Linked DNA regions of Astyanax mexicanus. The protein of the gene in region 1 interacts with the protein of each later gene in a biochemical or structural test. Links are inferred from orthologs where the notes say so. Each region holds a gene or a part of one and is shown on either strand. Other genes may lie near its edges. The genes, in order: hnf4a and srebf2.

What was found.
Region 2: the proteins of hnf4a (region 1) and srebf2 form a complex in vitro, tested with the Homo sapiens proteins (2 studies listed by BioGRID and IntAct). The link is inferred for Astyanax mexicanus from reciprocal best matches to the Homo sapiens genes HNF4A and SREBF2.

The regions. Positions count from the first base shown.
Region 1 is NC_064420.1:2,565,785-2,576,532, reverse strand, and holds the start of hnf4a (hepatocyte nuclear factor 4-alpha), read left to right. Parts: upstream 1-5,271; 5' UTR 5,272-5,314; coding exon 5,315-5,429; intron 5,430-9,684; coding exon 9,685-9,859; intron 9,860-10,280; coding exon 10,281-10,375; intron 10,376-10,748. UniProt on the Homo sapiens protein: Transcriptional regulator which controls the expression of hepatic genes during the transition of endodermal cells to hepatic progenitor cells, facilitating the recruitment of RNA pol II to the promoters of target genes. Activates the transcription of CYP2C38.
Region 2 is NC_064410.1:8,705,690-8,716,791, reverse strand, and holds the start of srebf2 (sterol regulatory element-binding protein 2), read left to right. Parts: upstream 1-6,419; 5' UTR 6,420-6,641; coding exon 6,642-6,732; intron 6,733-11,102. Other genes in the region: uncharacterized protein LOC111188799, read left to right, coding at 425-747, 892-2,079.

The DNA.
Region 1 (10,748 bases):
AACCAAACCAGGGTTTTTCCACTAAACATTGATTTCTGAACTCTTAAAACTTTATTTAGTAGTGAGTAGTGAAATTTCACGACTGGACTTGTTGTTGCACAGGTGCTGCATCCTACAGTATCACAGTACCACAGGCCTGGAGTTCACTGAGCTCCTGAGAGCCTGAGACCCATTCTTTCATTAAACCTTTTAAAGTAATAAGAGCTCATTTTTTCTACTGATTTTATGTGATTTAGATACTTTAATCATGTTTATTTTACTGTGTAGGAATGTTCAATATCATATATAAAACAAAAAATGTTAAACACTGGCTTTCCAATGTAATAGACAATGAAAATTGTAATAATAATATTTTATTTTATTTTATTTCATTTTATGGTATTCGTTTCTTCTTTTGTGTGCATTACAGGTTGAAAAAAGTTTTGTTAAATATTTTTTTTCCATTACTGGGACAAAACTAAGGATTGAAAGGGTTAAGAGTACTGAATTGAGAGTTGGTGGACTCCTATAATATACAGGACTAAATAGCTGTAAATGGCTGTAATTTGTCATTATGAATAATCTGGAAATGAAAAGTCTGGTTTATAAAGGTTAGCCTGGGTTACCGTGAGGCTTTTCCCATGTGATACATGTAGCTAACGATCTCTCCATTTATCTGGATCTACCTGGATTGAACACTCTGACTTGGCATGTGACGGAAAGAGCCATAACCTTGTGGATTAGATTTTATAGAGCCGTGGAGGCCGTTCACAGGGCTCTTGAGATTTAGGCTACGATAAAGACTTTAATGGTAAGCCAGATAAGATTTGCAGAACGTGAGTCACTCCTCACTGTTTCTGAGGCCAGAACAAATCTCCTGAGCAAATAAGGAGATGAGGAAGAGATTCCCAAAGACACGTTAAAGTTAGAGTTAGCACCTTAGCACTTGCTTAGATTAGACAGTTTACTTGAATTTCTTGCATCTTAATGTGCACAAAAAAGCAAAAGGCACTTTCAGAAATAAATCTATATATATAAATATATATGTATAATGAGACCACTGAAAAATGATGAGTTTCTTTGATTTTACCAAATTTAAAACCTCTGAAATATAATCAAAAGGAAGATGGATGATCACAAGCCATCAAACCACCAAACTGAACTGCTTGAATTAGTTTTGCACCAGGAGTAAAGCAGCATAAAGTTATCCAAAAGTAGTATGTAAGACTGGTGGAGGAGAACATGATGCCAAGATGCATAAAAACCAGGGTTATTCCACCAAATATTAATTTATGAACTCTTAAAACTTCTCAAATAAACATTTTCTGTAAATAAATGCTCTAAATTGCAATATTTCTATTTAGAATTTGGGAGAAATGATGTCTATATGTTCATTTTACTCAAATATAAACCTATAAATAGCAAAATCAGAGAAACTGATTCAGAAACTGAAGTGGTCTCTTAATTTTTTTTATCTATATCTATCTAAAATTTATCATTTATGATCATCATGTTAATAATAACTAAAACACACAAAACACATAAACAGGATTAGTCTCTTATGCATATCTAAATTATCAGTTGTCCGGCAAGTAAGTTCAGGTGTTTTCCAAGCAATTCTAAACAATACTGTACAGTAAATATAGTCTGCATAGTGTCCAGGGGGATCTGCAGAGCCATATAAATCAAGATCTTATCAAAAATGTTTTTACAAGCTAATCAAGATATTCCCATACTGACAAAAAATCAACCTAATTAGTAACCATTAATAAACTAATTGTAAACCATTTATAAACCCTTTATAAAGGTAGTCTTATTTTAATGTGGTATCGGATTTATTTTTAATTAAATGTACATGTCTTTTAGTAGTGATATACAGTAATTAATGGCATAATTCATACACATTCATTTGAGTTTGCGAGGCAAAAAAATTGCTATTGATAAAAAATACTATAAATTTATAATGTAATGTAAAAAAAAAAAATTAAGATCTAATGCATACATTTTAAATCAATAAATCAATTCAAATCTTAAGTCACTTTTAGCCTAAATTTGTATTTCTAAGTTTTGGATCTAAGTATTTTAAATCTAAAAAAAAAAAGTTATATGTTATATGTTATATATGAACTTTAAACAGTAATTTTCACCACTTTCAAAGTCAAAAAACAAAAAATCTTAGATAAAATTCTAATTTATGAATTACCACATATGTGTGTATATATATATATATATATATATATATATATATGTCACATTTTCCCAGTATATACAATACAGATCCAATACTTTGTCAGTTTTAAGCTCCATATCTTAACTGTAACTGCCTGTAAAATGTGTTATACAGTAAATTAAGTTGTTTAGCCTGGTTAAAAGAGGTTTTACTGCGTGTTTAGAGAGTTTACTTGGTCACCGTTTTGGGCAGCTCCTGTCCTCGTGCAGGCGTGTGGGTGGATGAGTGGTAGGTAAAGTTTTACTGTCCTGGTGGCCGTATGAACCGGAGAACGTTGACCTGTGGCTTTGTACTGTCACTTTCCCTTCTTCAAATATCTCCTGGGCTGTGTTTGCCTTGGCTCTGATGTGTGCGAGCTTGCTCCACTTGTTTACGTAAATGCTCCAATGCTTTACTTTTGGTTTTCCCTCAGATAACAAACATAACCTGCGTGTTAGCATATCAAATCAAATCAAATCAAGGTTTATTTGATTTATTTCACATGCAAAAGTCGTGAAATACCTGCTTATTTGTGGTTTCTTATGTAATCAATCATATTAAAGGCGAAATCCTGTGTAAAATTGACTTTTTGTTGTAGTAAAACTTGATAAAAAAGTTCTTACTTTTGATGATTAGCACACCTCCGTTCTCCCACAGCGTTCAGAGATCCAGAAATTGTAACAGTTTGTCCAAAAACCATTCAGATTGGGCGTCACGGGGCATAATAATTTGCCCCGATAAATTGCTTTTTACACCGTTATTCAAGCTCAAAGTAGCTCCACACCTCCTTGCTAGAATAAAAAAGTGCACAAGAAGCTTATTAAAAAATATAGACTCTGGAGTCTATGTATAATGTATATATATGTATATATGTCTGTCATTATCAGTACAGTGATGGCGGTGCTCTGAGCTGAAGCTAGCATTATAGGATGTAAACAGAGGTTTTTAAGAGTTTTTTTTATATGATACCATTAAATTATTAAAGAAGACTTTCTATACTATCAATGTTATGAATATCAAGTTATATTACTGTAGCATTTCGGACTAATTGGAGTAAAAATGGAGTAGGCCTATTCGGTTTTGCGTAAACCAGAGTTTGGAGCCCAATAAAACCAGCAAATTAAACTTGTATCAAATGACATCATGAAATGCTAGAAGAACCCTTTACAAACTATCAATGTTATTAGTATCAAGTGATTTTACTGCAGCATTTTAGAGTAATGCGAGGTCAAACTTTGGAAAAGTGCCTATTCGGTTTTGCACAAACCAAAGTTTGGAGCCAAATAAAACCAGCAAATCAAACTGTTATCAAATGACATCATGAAATCCTAGAAGTACAATTTACATGATATCAGTTGTATGAGTATTAAGTGATTTTACTGCAGCATTTTGGAGTAATGGGAGGTCAAACTTAGGAAAAGTGCCTATTCGTTTTTTTCCTAAACCAGAATTTGACACCACTCTATTTGTTTTAGACACAAATATCTGAAATTCACAATTATGAAAGCTGTTTGTTTTCTTCTAAGGGAAGAATTATGGGTGGGAAATTCTCATGTTAAAATGAAATGTGACTGTTTTCACTACATGAACCCACACAGCCATCATAAGCAGATTTCAGCCGAATCGTAATTAAAATACAGAGAACATGTACTGTAGGCTTCTTAAAGGAAAATACAGAAATGTTCTTCAGGATGTATTATATTACGTGGCCACAGAATCAGATTGAGAGCCAGCCAGCCTGATTTTCATGCTTAAATGATGTGTTTGCTAAGTCTCTGTTAATTCTTGCACAATAAACAACAGCAGTGACTCTGAGTAGCTGGAAAAATGCTGACCTTTATGTAAAAGAACTCTTTGTTCTACAGAAAACTCAAAGTTCCAACTATAGAGAACAGAATGGCCAACATTTATACTTTATGCCAAATTTAGTCATAACTAAAAACTGCAGTTTTGGGTGAAAAGTCGAGTCGCTGCTGCTGTACTGGATTGAGTACAGGATTGAGTCTTAAATATGTAGAAAGCTGAAGTACCTACAGAAGAAATTCCCCATCAAATACAATACAGACAAGACAAAAATAAACGACCACTTAAAAATTATTAGTTTCTTTGATTTTAGCTAATTGAAAACCTCTGGAATATAATCAAGAGGAAGATGGATGATCACAAACCATCAAACCACCAAACTGAACTGCTTGAATTTTTGCACCAGGAGTAAAGCAGCATAAAGTTATCCAAAAGCAGTGTGTAAGACTGGTGGAGGAGAACATGATGCCAAGATTCATAAAAACCAAGGTTATTCCACCACATATTGATTTCTGAACTCTTACAACTTTATGAAAACTTTATGTTTTCTTTGCATTATTTGAGGTCTGAAAGCTCCATAGCGCTAGATACGTTAGATCTCTGGGCGCCGCCATCACTGTACTGATCATGACTTAACTTTAAGCCCAGAGATGCACAGCATCTAATGCTACAAAAGAGTTGTAAAAAGTGGTTTTAATATGTTTTTCATGCACTTTTAAAGGTATTAATGCCTCGTTTTATATTTCAGAGCTCTCCAGATTTTACCAATGAGGTGTGGAGCTACTTTGAGCCTGGATAACGGTGGAAAAAAACGATTTATCGGGGCAAAATATGCCCTGAAGCGGCTGTTGTAAAGAGTGCTGGGCTTATAAGCACAAAATTACTGGGTCTTGGAAAGCTGTGGGAGAGCGGAGGTGTGCTATTCGACAAAAGTCAACTTATTTAAGCTTTTTTGCTTTTTTGATAAAATCTGATATTAAAAAGAGAGAAAGAGAGACTCACAGAAAGAGAGAAAGAGAGAGAGAGAGAGAGGCCTTGTTCATCTCTATCTCTAAAAAAAACAATCCATATTAAGCACTAAAGAAAAAAAAGCCAGACAATGATTAACCCAAGGGCCACCCCGCTCCAGAACTGGGGCCGTGGCCGAGGGGGCGGGGTCTGACCTGTCAGTCAAAGTCAGCCTCATCTTTGCCCCAGAGGACATGTCCCGTGTCACTCAGAGGTGTCTACCTCTGCGAGGGGCGGGGCTTGCTCTATGAGAGGGGGGGGTCCGGACTCCGGCGAGAGGACAAGTCTTTCCCCTCAGTGTCAGGCTAGCTGAGAATGCGTTTGTCCAAAGCTCTAGCAGACATGGAGATGGCAGACTATAGCGAGGCCCTGGACCCAGCCTACACCACCCTGGAGTTCGAGAACATGCAGGTGCTCGCCATGAGCACAGGTGAGTCACCCTGCAGACAAAGTTCAGGTCCCGGGCTGAACTTTGAGTCCTGAGACTTTTTATATAGGCTGGAGAATGTTTGGTCAAGCGTAGGATGATGAGGTTGGTTTAATGGGTTTTGGGCTGGTTTATAGACTTTATAGATTCCTTATACATTCCTTAGAGATGCCTCTGGATGGGATGACCTGTTTAGAACAGTATGCTTTATACTGAGTTATATTTATTATTTTATACTCTTATTTTAGTGTTTATACTGCCAACTTTTTTTTAAAAACAGGAGTTTTTAAAAAGTTTAATGCACTGGAGGAACCCAATAACCACAATAAGAATAAAGTGCTGTGAAATTTATAGGACTTTTTAGAAGAAAATGTTCCTTAAGTCACCTTTAAACACCACAAAATTATATTAATATATGATATTATGCATACACATATGCTTAGCCCAGTCCTGAAGTTGCTTAAAGCAGAACTCCAGTGTAAAATTAAAACTTTTCAGTGTAGTTAAACATGATAAAGAGTTTTAAACTTTGTTTTAAAGCCCAACAGCGCTCTTCTACAGCTTTCCAAGATCCATCAAATTTGTGCTTTTTTGCCCAGAACTCTTTACAACGACCGCTAATGGGGCATCCACTTGCCCCTGCAGATAAATCTTTTTTTTTTAAACAGTTATCCAGCTCAAAGTAGCTCCACACCTCATTGGTTGAATAGGAACATTGGTAGAAAACGCCTGACATTAAAAATGTGCACTTTTAAAGTTATCATTGCCTTGTTTTAAATGTCAATGGCTCTCCAGAAGGTCTTTCAGAAGGAAATGTTCCCAAGCTTTCCTAAAGCATTTTCCTCAAAGCATCTTTCAGATCTTGTAGATTCCCTAAAAGTTCCCCAAGGTATAAAAATGAAATGAAGCAAGACAGGATTAAATAAGCAAAGAACTAAAGAACTGAAGATCTGAACTGAGAGTCTGGAAGCTTTGGGAAAGATGAAAACTGCAAGCTCTGTCTTGTTAGGTGGACAGGCTCATCTTTCATTCCGTGTCAAAGTTACACCACTAAAAGTCCCACTGTGATTCCGTCCAGCTCCCTTTACCCTCCGCTTTCTTTGGTCGGTTGAGGATAAAATGTCTCTTCAGGGTTGAGTTTCCAGAGATAGCTGACAGCTAGATAGATGGACATCAAGCGTAGAAGATGTTGTGGAAATACTTCACAGCTTAGTTTCCCATGTCTGAACGTCATGAGAAACTGACTCGATTATATAAGTATCTGCAAAATCTGTTAAATAAGTTAAAAAAGTACCAACAATTCATTTCTTAGCCTTTCTTCTTTTAAGGTGCTTGAACATCTGGATGCTCTGAGGAACTTTAATGGGGTTTTAGGGCTGGAAAATATATTATTAATTTATTATAATGAAATATTTGCATATATTGCACTATATCGAAAGATTGCTTTGATGCTTTGCTGGTTAAAATATGTGTTTATTATGGATTAATAAAAAAAGAAATAATAATATGCATTGATTGTGCAACGTGGAAACGGTTTGGTTCCCAAAGAAATGATACTCAAATGAGAGTAGTCTTGTAAAAATAATGTAATTTAATGACATCACACTTAATTGTTTTTCACGTTAAATAAGTAAGTAAATACTGATACTTTTCTCTCGATCAGTATGATGTCAGCAATTTAAAACTCCTTACTTTATGTTTATTTGATGAATTATCAGCACTTGTATCATTATTATAATGGTATAATAGTATTACATAAGTATTTAAAGTGTTGTGTCTATTTTAAGTGTTAAGTTAGGGGGCGTTTAGAAAAAGACCTCAACATGTGTTGAACATTACCACAAAAATGTGTGTAAAAAAATTGATATTTCATATAAAACAGCCTTAATAACAAAGACATTGGGATTGAAACATTTGAAACATTACATTTTTTACATATTCATTGAATTAATCACTTTATAGGGGATTTTAAACACTATATAGGGTCAAATTGACCCCAAAGATAATACGAGATTTAATCATATATATACTTAAGTCCAGAACTACTGGATTTACAGTGATTTCTTAGATGATTAGTTTTTAATTAGGCTACGAATGATGATTTAATTGAGTTTAATTACTCTGGTTCCCAATCCTCTCACACTGCTGTTGTTTTCTCCCATTCAGATAATCAGTCAATCGCAAATCAATCAACTGAAACATCTACACATCTATCGTGCTTCCCTTTGATCATCTTTGATCAAGTACTTTGGTTTTAATGGGTTTTAAGCACTTTTTAAGACTATTACATCGAATAAGACGTAATAAGAACATATTACACTTAATATTATACAATTAATTAATCATTGAATCAATCAAGCTGAATTTGTATTTGTTTTTCGATAAATCATGTTAAAATTCAAAGTGCTTCACAAGAAAATAAGAAATATTCTAAAAATTCCAAAAAAATGGAGATGGATAAAAAGAAGGATAGTAAAATAATAGAAATAAAAATTAAATAATACAGTTAAGATAATACAAACAATAAAAACAAAGATTAAGAAATTAAGTATTGCATTAAGTAAATTTTTCTTAATTTTTTAATTTATTTAAAATATTCAATTTTATCAGTAATAAAATAGCAAAAAATAAAAAAGAGAATAAAATAAATATTTAATAATAATTTTAACTAATACAATCCAAAAATACCATCTGTAAAACTATTTAAAAATCTAGACTGAATGAATATAATATAATATATTATAATATTTTAATTTGCATTTTAAAAATTCTATTGGTTTAAAGTGTAAAAAAACAGCTTCATTAACCAAAAGCATTTTTGATTATATATATATAAACTTATAAACTTATAAAATATAGTTAAAATCCATTGAATAAGCTAAGAAGTGGTCATTTAAAAGACTTTAAATAGGTGTAAATTTTGCTCTTCCTTCAATATTTTGAGATACTCAGCAAAAAAAATTGTATTTACAGCAGCAGGATTGAGGCCTATGTTATGGATTATGTTAATAAGGCATGTTAATTCAGTTAATTCACTCGAGCTGTATTTATTTCAGATGTCCGTCTCCGTGTTTTCCAAGTCATTAAGCTCCTGAAGTCTTACTCACGCTCACGTTTATTCACGCATTCTTGAGTAATGATTAGTTCTATTAGCAGAGCTCTGCTGCCGCTCAGTTCCTGCAGTTTTAGCAGTTTATAATCACATCTGGATTACTCCGCAAACACTCCTCCACTGCACATTTTCATGAGAGTGATTTATGGCTAATTGATTGCAGCGTGAAATTGGTCTCTTCAAAGCGTTTTACAGCCTGGCCGTGACCTTTAACCCGTTTCCGCTTTAAATTTGCTGGAGCTGAATCTCCGTTATCTACTGGAGGATCACATATATCCTTTTTTATCATTTAAAACACTAAATAAACTCAAGTAATTAAGAAAAAAATTAGAGATTAAATTAGATTTAAACTGATTTAAAAGCCATTATATGTTAAGTTTTTAAACATTAGGTTCATAATTCTGTTGTTAATCATAATAAAGAAGCTTTTTCACCTTTTAAAACTTCTATAGCACATTTTGGAGTCCCACAAGGCTCCGTTTTTGGACCTATGAAGTTGATGTTCATTTTATAAGTACTGCAGATAATGGACATCAGATACATTCTTTAGCTTTTTTCACTTTTTCAATTTGCTTTGATCTGAAGTAAAAAAAAAAACACTTTGTCTGTTCATGCACTTCATATCCATGTAGTGTAAAGTCCAAAAAACTTCTGCCATTTTTTCTAATATCAGTTACAATTTAGCATTAAAGACTACCTATTACATAAAGCTTTACATTAAGATTTGCCAAAAGAAGCTCAATAATCAGAGCCTTGGATTGTTAAAAAAACAAGTTGGTGGGTTTGATACCCAAGCCACTGTTCTAAAGCAAAGCCTCTCTATATGCCGCAGTGGTGGGTGCCCACTGCTTCAGACATGTGTGCTCACTGTTACCACTCAAAAGATTGGAAACACTTTTGCGTTCAATCTTCTTATTTTTCATTTTTTACCTACATTGAATAGTAAATGAATAGGGAAGTCATTTAAACTACGAAGGAACACATCAGGAATCATGTAGTAACTCCTAAACTTGTCCTGTGCAATGGGGCTGTCCTGATGAGAGCCAGTTTCATCATAACGTTTTTTTTTAAGGTCTTCACGACTGCACCTGAGGATCACTGTGTAACTTTTAATATATATATATATTTTTTTTTTTATTGTTTCAGACTCCTCACCAGCTGAGAGTGCCAACATGAACGCTGCCAGCCACCTGGGTGCAGGTAGCCTGTGCGCCATCTGTGGGGATCGGGCAACCGGCAAACACTATGGGGCGTCCAGCTGCGACGGCTGCAAGGGTTTCTTCAGACGCAGCGTCCGCAAAAACCACATGTACTCCTGCAGGTCAGAACTGTACTTCATAAACAGCTCTTACAGATCTTATTATAGGGATATACTGAAATGATTATTGATAATATTTTTATTAATTTTGCTACATTTGCCATATTTTTCACCTAAAGGCCTAAATGTATTTCTGTCTTGCTTTTCAAAGGAAAAAAGTTTACAAAAATAAAATATTTAAAATAAAAATATTAATTGTAAGTACCAACAAAGCACATTATGACTTAAAATAAATAAGCCCTTTTTAAGCCATAATTATTTTTTTTTTTTACTTATTTGGCACAAAAAAAGGCTTTTTGACACATTTTTGTCTGAATAATTTTGGTTGCCAAGTATTCTGTGCATCCCTACTTACCCTACTTAAACTATGATTGCTTAAATATGAATACTTCTAATTATTTTGTTCTCTTTATGTTGGTTACAGGTTTAACAGACAGTGCATAGTGGACAAAGATAAGAGAAACCAGTGCAGATACTGTAGACTAAAAAAATGTTTTCGGGCCGGAATGAAGAAAGAAGGTTTGTATCCATTCCCTGATTTTTATAACACCTTTTAGCAGGCTGTAATGTAGTTTTTTTAGAATAAAAAGTCATTTTTTTTTAGATATCAGCTCTAAAATATTTAGCAGTAAAAATGCCAGATTTAAAAATCTACAAACACACTCTGATTAGACATGCAAGATTAACATGCAAGTTTTACTGTTTCTTATCTAAAATTTAATTTTTACCAGTAAAAACTCCACTTACAGATATCTGTAATGACTTTTTTACTAGTAGAAGTTTTAATTTTGTTTAATTATTCCATCAAAAAACTCAGCTTGGAGTCAAATTAGCAATTATCTAACTGTAACACTCACTAGAGCATTAATAAGCAGCAGGTTAGAAATGGAGA
Region 2 (11,102 bases), on another chromosome or scaffold:
TTTTCTCCAAATAAAAGCTCTAAATTACAATATTTTCATTAGAAATTTGGAATAAATGTTGGCCTTAGTTTATAGAATAAAACACCAATGTTCATTATACTCTAATTCAGAAACTGAAGTGGTCTCTTATTTTTTTCCAGAGCTGTATAGCAACAAAATATCGCAATATGATGTTTTTCTGCTGTTTACAGCTGTAGGACATACACAGTATATCCTGTTTGACATTACGAGGTAAATATTTTAAACCTTAAAAAGCTGTCACACACTCCTCAATCAGTGGTCTGGGCTTTACTTCAAGTGCACTTTGGTGTGAAGCTATCCGCTCCCAGTGCCATGTGTGTGGTCGTGTAATGGGTTAATTTTGTAACATGCATCAGGATATCCTAATAAAGCACACTGTGATATGATCTCTGTATCGTTGCAGCTCTAGTCCACACTGAAATTGCTAAGTGTGTGACGCTGAGTGCTCCTGGCCCCCACGCCTTCCTGCTGGTGGTCCCGCTTGGACGCTACACAGAGAATGAGAACCGAGCTGCCCGAGAGATGCTCCAGGTGTTTGGGGAAACGGCTCTACAGCGCCACACAGTGGTGCTCTTCACCCGTGGAGATGACCTGGAGGAGGGTGGTGGTGGGATAGAGGGGTTTCTAGGTCGGGAGGAAGTTCCTAGAGAGCTGAGGGATCTGCTGCAGACCTGCGGGGGGCGATACCACGTACTAAACAACAAAGAAATGGGAGATAGAACACAGGTAAATAAATGTAATCATTTTGATGGTGTATTAGATCTGGCTGATGTTAAAAGAACACTGGAAAATTGCATGTATATTCACAAAGAAAGCAAAACTGCTTATTTTACTGCAGTGGTTTTATGATGTCCTGCTTTTGTTCTAAAGGTAAAAATGCTACTCCAGAAGGTGGAGAAGATGGTTCAGGAGAACGAGGGGCGGTTCTACACCAGCGCCATGTTCCAGCAGGCCGAACTCGCCATCCGAGCAGAAGAGGAGAGACTGATGAAAGAGAGAGGACAAGGAGAGGGAGAGGAGGTGGAGAGACCGGATGGAGGGTTAGCGATAGCTAAGAGAAGACGAACGGAGCTGGAGCAGGGCTTGAGACGGAGAGAGGTGGAGGGAAGACATGATGAGGGGGTGGAGGAGAGGGGGAGGGATGGAAGGATGAGTGAAGGGAGCTGGAGGGAGAGAGAGCGGAGGAGAGGAAGCAGGCGCCAGTCACTCCGATTAGCCGTTAGCCGCTTCCGCAGGGAAGCTGCTCTGTCTCAGAAGGTTCTAGACCAGGTGAAGGTGTTGGTTACAGCCGGAGCTACAGGCATGGCAGTGGGAGCGGTGTTTGGAGCTGCTGCCCCTCTGGCTATGGCAGCTGGAGCCTCCATGATGGGCAGCTCGGTGGGGCTGGTCGCAGGGCAGTTTGCTGGGGTGTCTGTGGCAGGGAGCGGGGTGGGAAAGGCTCTTGGCGCGATTGTAGCAGCAGCAACTGGGAAAACAGCGGTAGCCGTGGGGGCTGCTACTGGGGGGCTTCTGGGGGGATCAGTGGGAGCCTTGGCTGGGGCAGAAGCAGCCGGGCCTAGAGAGGCAGCACTGGAAGCTCTAGAACAGGTTGGCACAGTGGGTGCTATAGTGGTGGGCGTGGCTGCAGGAGTTGGTGGGACTTTAGGGGCGGGAGCAGCTATAGGGGCGATGCTTGAGGGTGGGGCTGCAGTCGGAGGAGCAGTTGGCATCGCTAATGCTACGGCTGTCGCTGCACCAAATGCTGTAGTCGCTGGGGGTGCTGCTGCAGAGGGTGCTCTGGCTGCATCGCAGGCTGTTGCCACCGGGGGCGTTGTGCAGACAGTAGGGGGCGCTGCATGCAGCGGTCAGAATGCTTTGGCAGCTAGCAGCGGGCTAACAGGTGCTCTGAACACGGTGGGAACTACAGCACGGATCATCACGGCAGTGACGGAGATCGGAAAGGCAGCGGTGGGAATCGTGGTGGCCGGAGGGCTGGTGGTGAAGGTGGTGAAGGAGAAGGTTCGGTCTGCAGCTGGAAACACGGAGAGACATTCCTACGAGATTTACTGGAACAAATGAGGGACTGTGCTAAAAGACGTAGCCTTGGAGAACAAAACATAGAGATGATGCACTGTCTTAAGCCCTATCAAGACGAGATTAGTTTCTCAGGGGTTCTGAGGTAATTTTCTCTCAGAGGGGGTTCTCTGAGATAATTACAGGCTAAATTATCTACTGTTTTTCACTAAACTCCATGGTCGTCTGGAAACTGTAGTCCTGTCCAGACGCACATCTCCAAGTTTTGTCACTTTTCTGTTTAATAAAATAGCCATTTGTGCGTTTCCGCGGAGATCCACGTAAACACAACAGCGAGTGGAAATGGAGGAGCTACTGAACGCGATGTCATGTGACCGAAAAAGCCAAAAAACTCACTGGCTCCCCCTTTTTTTTATTGCAGTCCGGATGCAAGAGTTTTATCACTGAGTAGAAGTGTGAAATATTTTTCACAGACATCCCCCTGAGAAACTAATCCCCTCCGGATTGGGCTTTAACCTGCTTTTCCATCGCTTTTTAATCGATGCTATCCAACCCCAGTTTTTTAAACTGGGTTCCATTATTAATGCACTTATTATGCCGCAGTAACTAACAGGGGTATGCATTTCAACCAAAATCTGAATTTAATTATTCACCAGATGTTCACCAGAAACTGCTTAATTGTTTAGTTAAGATGAGAACTGAGTGATTCAGAGTGGCGTTTGGTGTAAAATGTTCGGTTCAAGATAATTTTACCCAGTTACAGTAGTATAGTGTAGAGAGGTAGTGAATGGAAGCAGAACATCTGAAGCTGTACAGCTCCTCACATAAAGTTATTGCAACAAACGTATTCTGAGAATTTTCACACAAAAGGTAAAGAGACCCAAATCAAATTTTCTCACCTAATACGATGTTTACTTTTAGGCTGTTCACACTTATCTTTTTGATGTGATCTATACAGTATTTAGTATTTGGACAAATTATTCCTTTACTTTGGTTTCAGCCAAAAACTTGCATTTTGGTGCATTTCTACTATTTTAGTAAAGGGGTTTGCTCTTAAATATTTACCTGAAGCTCATATTTACACTGCACTTCATTTAAAAAACAAAACATCAAAAAATGATTGATTACCGACTCAGACGATCAGTCCAGAACTGGTTGGGTATTAATTACAGTGGGAGTGTGATGTAGAGCAGAACTGGAGCAGATGTGGAGATCAGATGTAAAATGCTGGTGCTGAGTACAGTATTATGTACTGTGGTGACGTGCCTTCAGACGGGTGTGTGTATGCCTCTACTGGAACAGTCTGCTGATCTGAACTCAATAAAGCCTGTTTTTCTGGACCATTGTGTGTGGGTGTGTTCTGATGGCCACTAACTAATTACTGTTATTACTGTATTACTACTCATGCACACACTGGCGTAGGAACCGGGGGGGATGGGTGGGACATGTCCCACCCAATATTGGAAACAGGTGGATTTGTCCCACCCAAAAATGATATCGTTTCGCTCAGATCAGCTGTACTATTAATGAGGAGACAGACCGGACCAATCACGGAGCCGGCTCAGGTATTAAGTCCCGCCTCTCAGTAGAAACAGCCAATCCGTTTTGCGGCTCGCAGAGGACCGGCAGTTTGCTGTTGGGGAAGCCCCGCCCCCTCGCTGTGAGATTTAGCAGCGGGATCGGGACGCAGCTTCAGCTGATTTTAAAACGGATCTGGATATACGGAGATTTTTCTAAAAGAAAAGTAACGATAGGCTAACCACATAAACTGTGATAAGTTTCTGATAGCTGGTTAAAAATACACGACTCTAAATCAGCACACAGATTAAACACACTGTGATTAATAAACTGCAGCTGTGTAAGTGAGTTAGCTTGGAATTAGTTAGATTGGAAGTCAACGTTAAAGAAAAAATAAACTATTTATGTAATGTTCAACTTGCCCTGTACCTGATCAGCTAATCACTATTTCATTTTTAAACTGTCTTTATTAATTTAGGATTAATTTAGCTAACTAGTTGGCTAGAAGCTGGATGTAGAGGATAGCCAGAATGTAGTACAGTACTTTATGTTTGTAGTTTAAAGCAGTTTCTTAACCCTGATCACCGCCCCAAAATTGTGTTTTCCACCTGATCCAGCTGATCAGCTAATAAACAGTCATTTACTGAGTTTACTGAGTTTAATCATGTATATCCAGCAGTGTATTAGACACATCATACCACCACTTACTTTAATAAGTGCCTTTAAAGCAGAGGAAGCTCTAGAATATGTAGAACAGTGTTAATATTCAGTAGAATATGTAAGAACAGGGTTCACAGTAAGGCCACATGTCCTTTATGAAACGTAAAGTTACATTCTTTTACATAAAAGGACACCAATCTTTAGAAGAGCTCTCAGTAGAAAAAAGCGTAGGATTTTTTTTAAAGAGTGGAGAAAATGTAAATATACAACAGAATTGACATGCCAATACATGATTATAATAATAATAATAATAATAATAATAATAACCAAATCTGTTATATTATTTTAAATATTAGGTGATAACTGATCATTTTTGTATGTATATGTATATGCATATTTTTTTCTTACAACAGTAAATGTAATGTGGAGTAACATGTTTAGGTTGTAAAATCACCTTGTTAACTAATAAAAAACAAAATACAGAAAAAAATGATTATTTGTGATTAAAAGTAATTTCCACAAATGTTGTTCTAAGAAACTATTGGGTGGGCTTGGGTTCATATTGGCAAATATGTCCCCCCCAATATCAAACCTGCTCCTACGCCCTTGCATGCACACACACACAACCAGCAGGTGGTTTTCACCCACCCACTCCTGTATATCTCCAGCACAGATAACAGAATTATATTTACTTTTCCTGTTTTATAGCACAGATAACCCTGTGTATTAATAAAATTTAATGGTCAGGGTTTAAACAGGGCTGTACAGGATGTGATGCACATTATAAAACACTAACTTAAGGAAATGAAGCCCTGAGTACATTAATTAATTATACATACAGCTCTGGAAAAAATAAGAGAGCATTTAAAAATTACAAGTTTCTTTGATTTTACCAAATTGAAAACATCACAAGCCATCAAACCGAGCTGAACTGCTTGAATTTTTGCACATGGATTGGCATAGTCATAGTATCCAAAAGCAGTGTGTAAGACTGGTGGAGGAGAACATGCAAAGATGCAGGGTTATTTCACCAAATATTGATTTCTGAACTTGTTTTCTTTGCATTATTTGAGATCTGAAAGCTCTGCATCTTTTTTGTTATTTCAGCCATTTCTCATTTTCTGCAAATAAATGCTCTAAATTACAATATTTTTATTTGGAATTTGGGAGAAATTTTGTCCATAGTTTATGGAATCAAACAACAATGTTTATTTTACTATAAATAGCAAAATCAGAGAAACTGATTCAGAAACTAAATTGGTCTCTTATTTTTTTTTCTACAGATCTATATTGTTAAGACATCACAGAACTCCTTTTTCTTATATTATGTATTGTCTAACAATTAGAACAATTATAATACTTTTATTTCCAATAATATAAACTTACTATTGATGGTAGGAATCTTACAATAAAATGTAAAAATACATGTGTAGTAATCAATTATATTCTTCTGAACCTATAAACCTATTAAAATAATATTTCTGTTGAACATGTACTTCAAGATAAAAAAATACTAATAATGTAAACTTCTTTTTACTGACAATTCTTATAATATGAACCTGAACACTGTTACTCATTTAATATAACCTACTGCTTAAAATATTATGGTGCTATAAAACTTATTAAAATATTATTTGTGTTGAACTTGTGCCCTGTAGAACAATTATTATAAACACACTAAACTTAAAAAAAAAAAAATTATTTTACTATACCTTTATAAACATGCTATTACATAGTGTACGCCTACTATTAATACAAAACTATTATATGTAGCTATAAAACTAATTATACATTTATTGTTACTATATCATATCCTGTTAATATATGGTATTTCTACACTACAACGCTCTAAATCTATTTTTATCTGAATTTATGTTTTTATGAACCTGTTTTAGAGTATTTAGATCTGAGTTAGAATAATGTTTGTGTTTGGAGTTGGCGATGATGTAACACCAACATAACAGAGGAGTAGCTCCGCCCATCCGCCTCAGATACATGAATATTCATGAGATCCCGCTTCAGAGCAATAGGCGAAACCAGAGTAGGCGTGGCCAGCAGTCTGAGGCGGGTCGTATTCAAATCACAAAGCGCCTCTGCTCATCGACGTACTATCAGACCACGGAGCGGCGGGCGCTGTGATTGGTCGACTCTGCCTGGTCTCACTCCGCGGCCGAGCCAATCAGGCGTCCCCGGGGCGCATGACGTCGACGTTGTGGAACAAGATGGCTCCGTTTGTTTTGTGAAGGGGGTTCTGACGGTTCAGCTCAGCGATGCGGACAGGCCCGGTTTGGGGTATTTTGGGGTGTTTTCAGGGTCGGTTTTAAGGCTAAAACACACCCCCACTCCTCAAACACACAGGCAGAGCGGGCACCGCCTCCTCTGCTGCCCGACCCGCCCGGGGAGACACCGGAACCGGGGACGCCGCTGGTATGGACGGCGGAGAGTACCTGTCAGCCATGGAGAACATGGACCCGACCCTGTCCGAGCTGGGGGACGAGTTCACCCTCGGGGATATCGACGGTAAACAGACCGGGCTCTGCTGTGGTCGTGTCTCTAGTGTCTGAGCGCTCTGTGCGCTGTTTAGTGCGTTATATGCTATGTTCTGTGTGTGTAACCGGGGTGTGTACAGTAGTGAGACAGGTCAGTCAGTCAGTCAGATGGTGATAGTAGTAGTAGTAACGTTACTGCATTATCATAGTTTATATACTCACTTATACACTGTGTAGTACACTAAACAACTACAATACACTAAGTGTGTGTGTGTGTGTACAGCCCCCCAAAAGTTTGGGCACATCTTTTTTTCCCCACATTGTAAATTAATATTGAAGTCATCCACACTATAAAGGAACACATAAAAAATAATGTAATAACTTTAAATTGTTAAACAAACCAAAATACCAGGTGGCTCTTATCTGTGATGCTGTTAACTTGCAGTTCCTGAGGCTGGTAACTTATCCTGTGGGGCCCGTCCTAATGAGGGCCAGTTTCATCATGTTTTTGATGGTCTTCAAAGTTCCTGAAATTTTTAAGATTGACTGATGTTTATCATTGACGTTCAATTTTTTAACTTATTATTTTATTCTTTACTTAGTTAAGTAATTATTTTTATAATATGGATTAGAACTATATATGGATTAATTAAGCCAACTCTGCCTCTTTACAACTTTTCGACTGATGCTATCAAACACACTAAGAGGCAAGAAATTTAGGTTATATAATATATACAGGCTAATAGACTTGTTTAGTACCCTAAGCTCTGTATATACAGACTTATTTCCCTAGCTATAATGTACATAATGTATATACGGGCATATAGACTTATATAGTACACCAAAAGTGTATATACAGGCTTATGTTCCTAGCTATAGAGTACACTACAAAGAGTGTTTATACTGGCATATAGTTGTATTATAGTACACTTTACATACTTTTTTGAACACTAGATACTGTTTATACTAGCTTATACATCTAGTAATATAGTACACATAATAGTTACTAATTGTACGGTATACTATACAGTGTACATACTGTCTTGTAGACCAATATAGTACACAACATTTTGTATAAATGGCTTATAGATTTACAGTATAAAGTACACACTTAAGTATATATGCTGGCTTTAACACTTTTAAAGTACACTACATAGAGTGTATAGTGGCTTATACATATTATTATATTCTTCTATAATATTCTTCTCTACATTTTCTCTATATACTATATTATCCTCCTTTTACCCTGTTCTTCAGTGGTCAGGACTGCGACCGTAAGGTGGTGGTGTGTCGGTGTGTGTTTTGCTGGTATGAGTGGGTTAGACACAGCAGTGCAGCGTATCTATTGAAACTCTGTATACAGTATTGACACCTTCCTAAAATAATTTATCAAGTTTTTCAGGAAACACAAAAAAAACTATTTAAAAATGAGCAGTGGTTTAAAATGATAGTTTATCATACAGTCTCGCAGTAGAACCAGAAACAATACTAATTGAAAATTCTGAAAATATTGATTGAAAAGACAGAAAACAATTATGATTTTAACCAGCCACAAATTATAGAGCATTTCTATGTAGCTTTTGGACTTAGCTATTTCGCAGACTAAAATTCAGACAAAAAAAATCAATAATAAGCCTAAACAACAATGCAATATTCATAACCAACATTCTTTAATAATACGAACTACACAATTCTCCTCACTTATCAATTGAGGATGAGCTGTAAATTGTGTAAATTAGTTCAGTAAAGGAGCCTGGTATTGGAAATCTATGAAAATATTATTTTATTTTGACTGAGGCTTAATGAATTAGCTTAAGTCACACTCTTGACACAGGCCATTATCCTAAAGAGGTAGAATCAAATGATATGATCAACTGAGGGTGTAGGCAATTTTACAACATATGGCCATGCAGCAATATTAAGACATGATTTAGACAAAAAAAAAAAGTATTTTTTACAATTTTTTATTATTTTAGGAAGGTGTATAGTGTCAATCATAGGGCATATAACCATAACTCTTACAAAGGGGACATTATAAAGCATATATTGACCACCCATGTGGTCCTTTGTATTGTCTGTCTGTATGTACTGTAGTAGTAGTAGTAGTAGTAACAGTAATATATTGTACAGACAGTAGGCTTTCGTGTTACGGTTGTGCTTTTGTTTGTTCTGTCGACTTTAGCTCCTGACGGGGCTCATTTACCTCAGGGCAGTCGAGCTCAGGCAGATGGGGATGGGGGTCATTAGTGCAGATACAGCAGGTTATTACTCAGTAACTACAGCGGGGTGATGTGTACACTCTTATGCACTCCCAGGAGTGCAGAGATGAAGTGTGTACTGATGTTGGTGTGTGTTTAGCTGTGTGTGTAGACAGTGCACACTTACTGATCTCGGTTTTGAGAGCAGAATTGGGCATGCAGATTTACAGTGTTGATTTTTTGAGTATATTCTCTAAGTTAGACTGCAGGTTGAGTTTAGGCTCACTCTTCGGAAGTGTAGTAGTTTGTACTCACTTTGTCTGGGTGGAGTTAAGATGAAACACACAAAGTCTATCTTTCATATTGGCTTCTGGCAGCATTTATTTGCATATTGGTTGTGTGTAGTCTTGCCAATCAGGGCTATATTTGCTGGGTATTCAGTTATATTTTATATAATGGCTGATTGTCTGTCTACAATGTTTTAGACCATAAGAGCAAGTTACGCTTTTCTTAAATATAAAGTATGACTATAAAGTGGTGTGTCTTTCTCAGAACATCCTTGAACTCAGACGGAGTGCAGGTGTTCAGTTCTTCGGTGCAGGTCTTATCAGATCTGTTATCAAACTTGTCTCACATCTGCTATCAGACAGATAGTGCCACATCAATAAACTCTTGCTAATAATAAAGATGATCACACAGTAGACATTAGTGTATCTGGCCATGTTTTGATGGCACACTTTGATAGAGAACAGTATAATGGAAGGACAGCAGTGTGACCTCGGTTAGTGAGATAGTGGGGCTAATTGATTAGATAGCGTTTGATTATTGCTGCTGTATTACCAGTTCTGACCATAACATTAGTAGTTGGCCTGCAGACGTGTGGAGGCGTGTGGAACGTGTGGTGCATGTGTTCGAGGCTGAAAGTTCAGGGTTAGTGGTGACAACTGATTGTAAGGTTTCTGCGCTCAACTTTGCTTTCTGCTGCCAGAAATTGATAGTAATGCTGTCTAATGTTTAAAAGTCTAAAGTGTAAATAAATGTTTTGGGGTATTATTTAGTGATGCTACTTTACCACTTTCCTACTGTTGAGGTCAGAATGTAGATTACTTTTTACCAGGGCTGTCAATGTTAACGTGTTAACGCACACAATTCTTTTGGAATCAGTAAAGAGTTATTATTTTTAGCGCAAATTAATTAAACCACAAAGTTTGCCCCTGTCGTAACTTCCACCATAATATGCCCCACCTCCAGCCAACATGCAGATTTCATACATACTTTTTAATTGAGCTAAACAGTTTAGTCTGATATATTAGCCAGATGATATACTGCTATTAACAAACGCTGTCTCTGCTGCTCCATGCTGTTTACACATGCAGTAATGTACAGCGTTCACTGCTCGCAGCTGCACTGCACCTGCCATTAAAAATACTGTGTTTAAAAGCTCAGTTACAAATTCTCAGCATTCTGTTTTAAAACAGATTCATACTGCACAGATATATACGCGCTGGAACACAGAATCTTCACGCTATATTTACTTTCTTGCTCCTGCACCAGACAGTTCTGGCCAATCAGAGGAGACAACGTGCTTGCATGGGTTATTGGTGCGCATTTTGGTGCGTTTAGGTTTATACCTGTGTGAAACCAAACCAAACAGAGGGAGATAACGCTCTAAATAAATAAACTGATCAACTGATCTGGACCATGTGTTCGGGGGCTGCTATTTTCATGGAGTGAAAGGTTTTCCAGCCCATGAAAATAGCAGCCCCCAAACACACAGTGGGAATAAAGTCCCTCTGTCTTCCACAGCAGCTAAACTTTGACAGAGCTCCACAGTAACATCTTATGAAAATGCTTGCAGATGCCAGTTACAATTCTGTATGTAAGAGTGTAGATATATCCTCAAATATGTCTTAAGTTTCAGACAAACATCAGCTGTGTTTACCAACAAGGTGAAAACTTTGTAGAGCTTTGCCTCAGCCCTCCACTTTTCATCTAAAAGAAAGTTCTCTAACCAAACTGGGTAAGGAAACAATCCATGTTAATGAATACATTATCTGATTCTGACCCTACTGAGGTAAATTTATTACAAGAGTAGCAGTGCTAAGGTAAATTTGTTACTGGAATAGCTCTAATGAGGTAAATTTGTTTGATTAGTAGTTCTGAGGGTTTTTTTTTTGTTAGAATAGCATTGCCGAGGCAAATA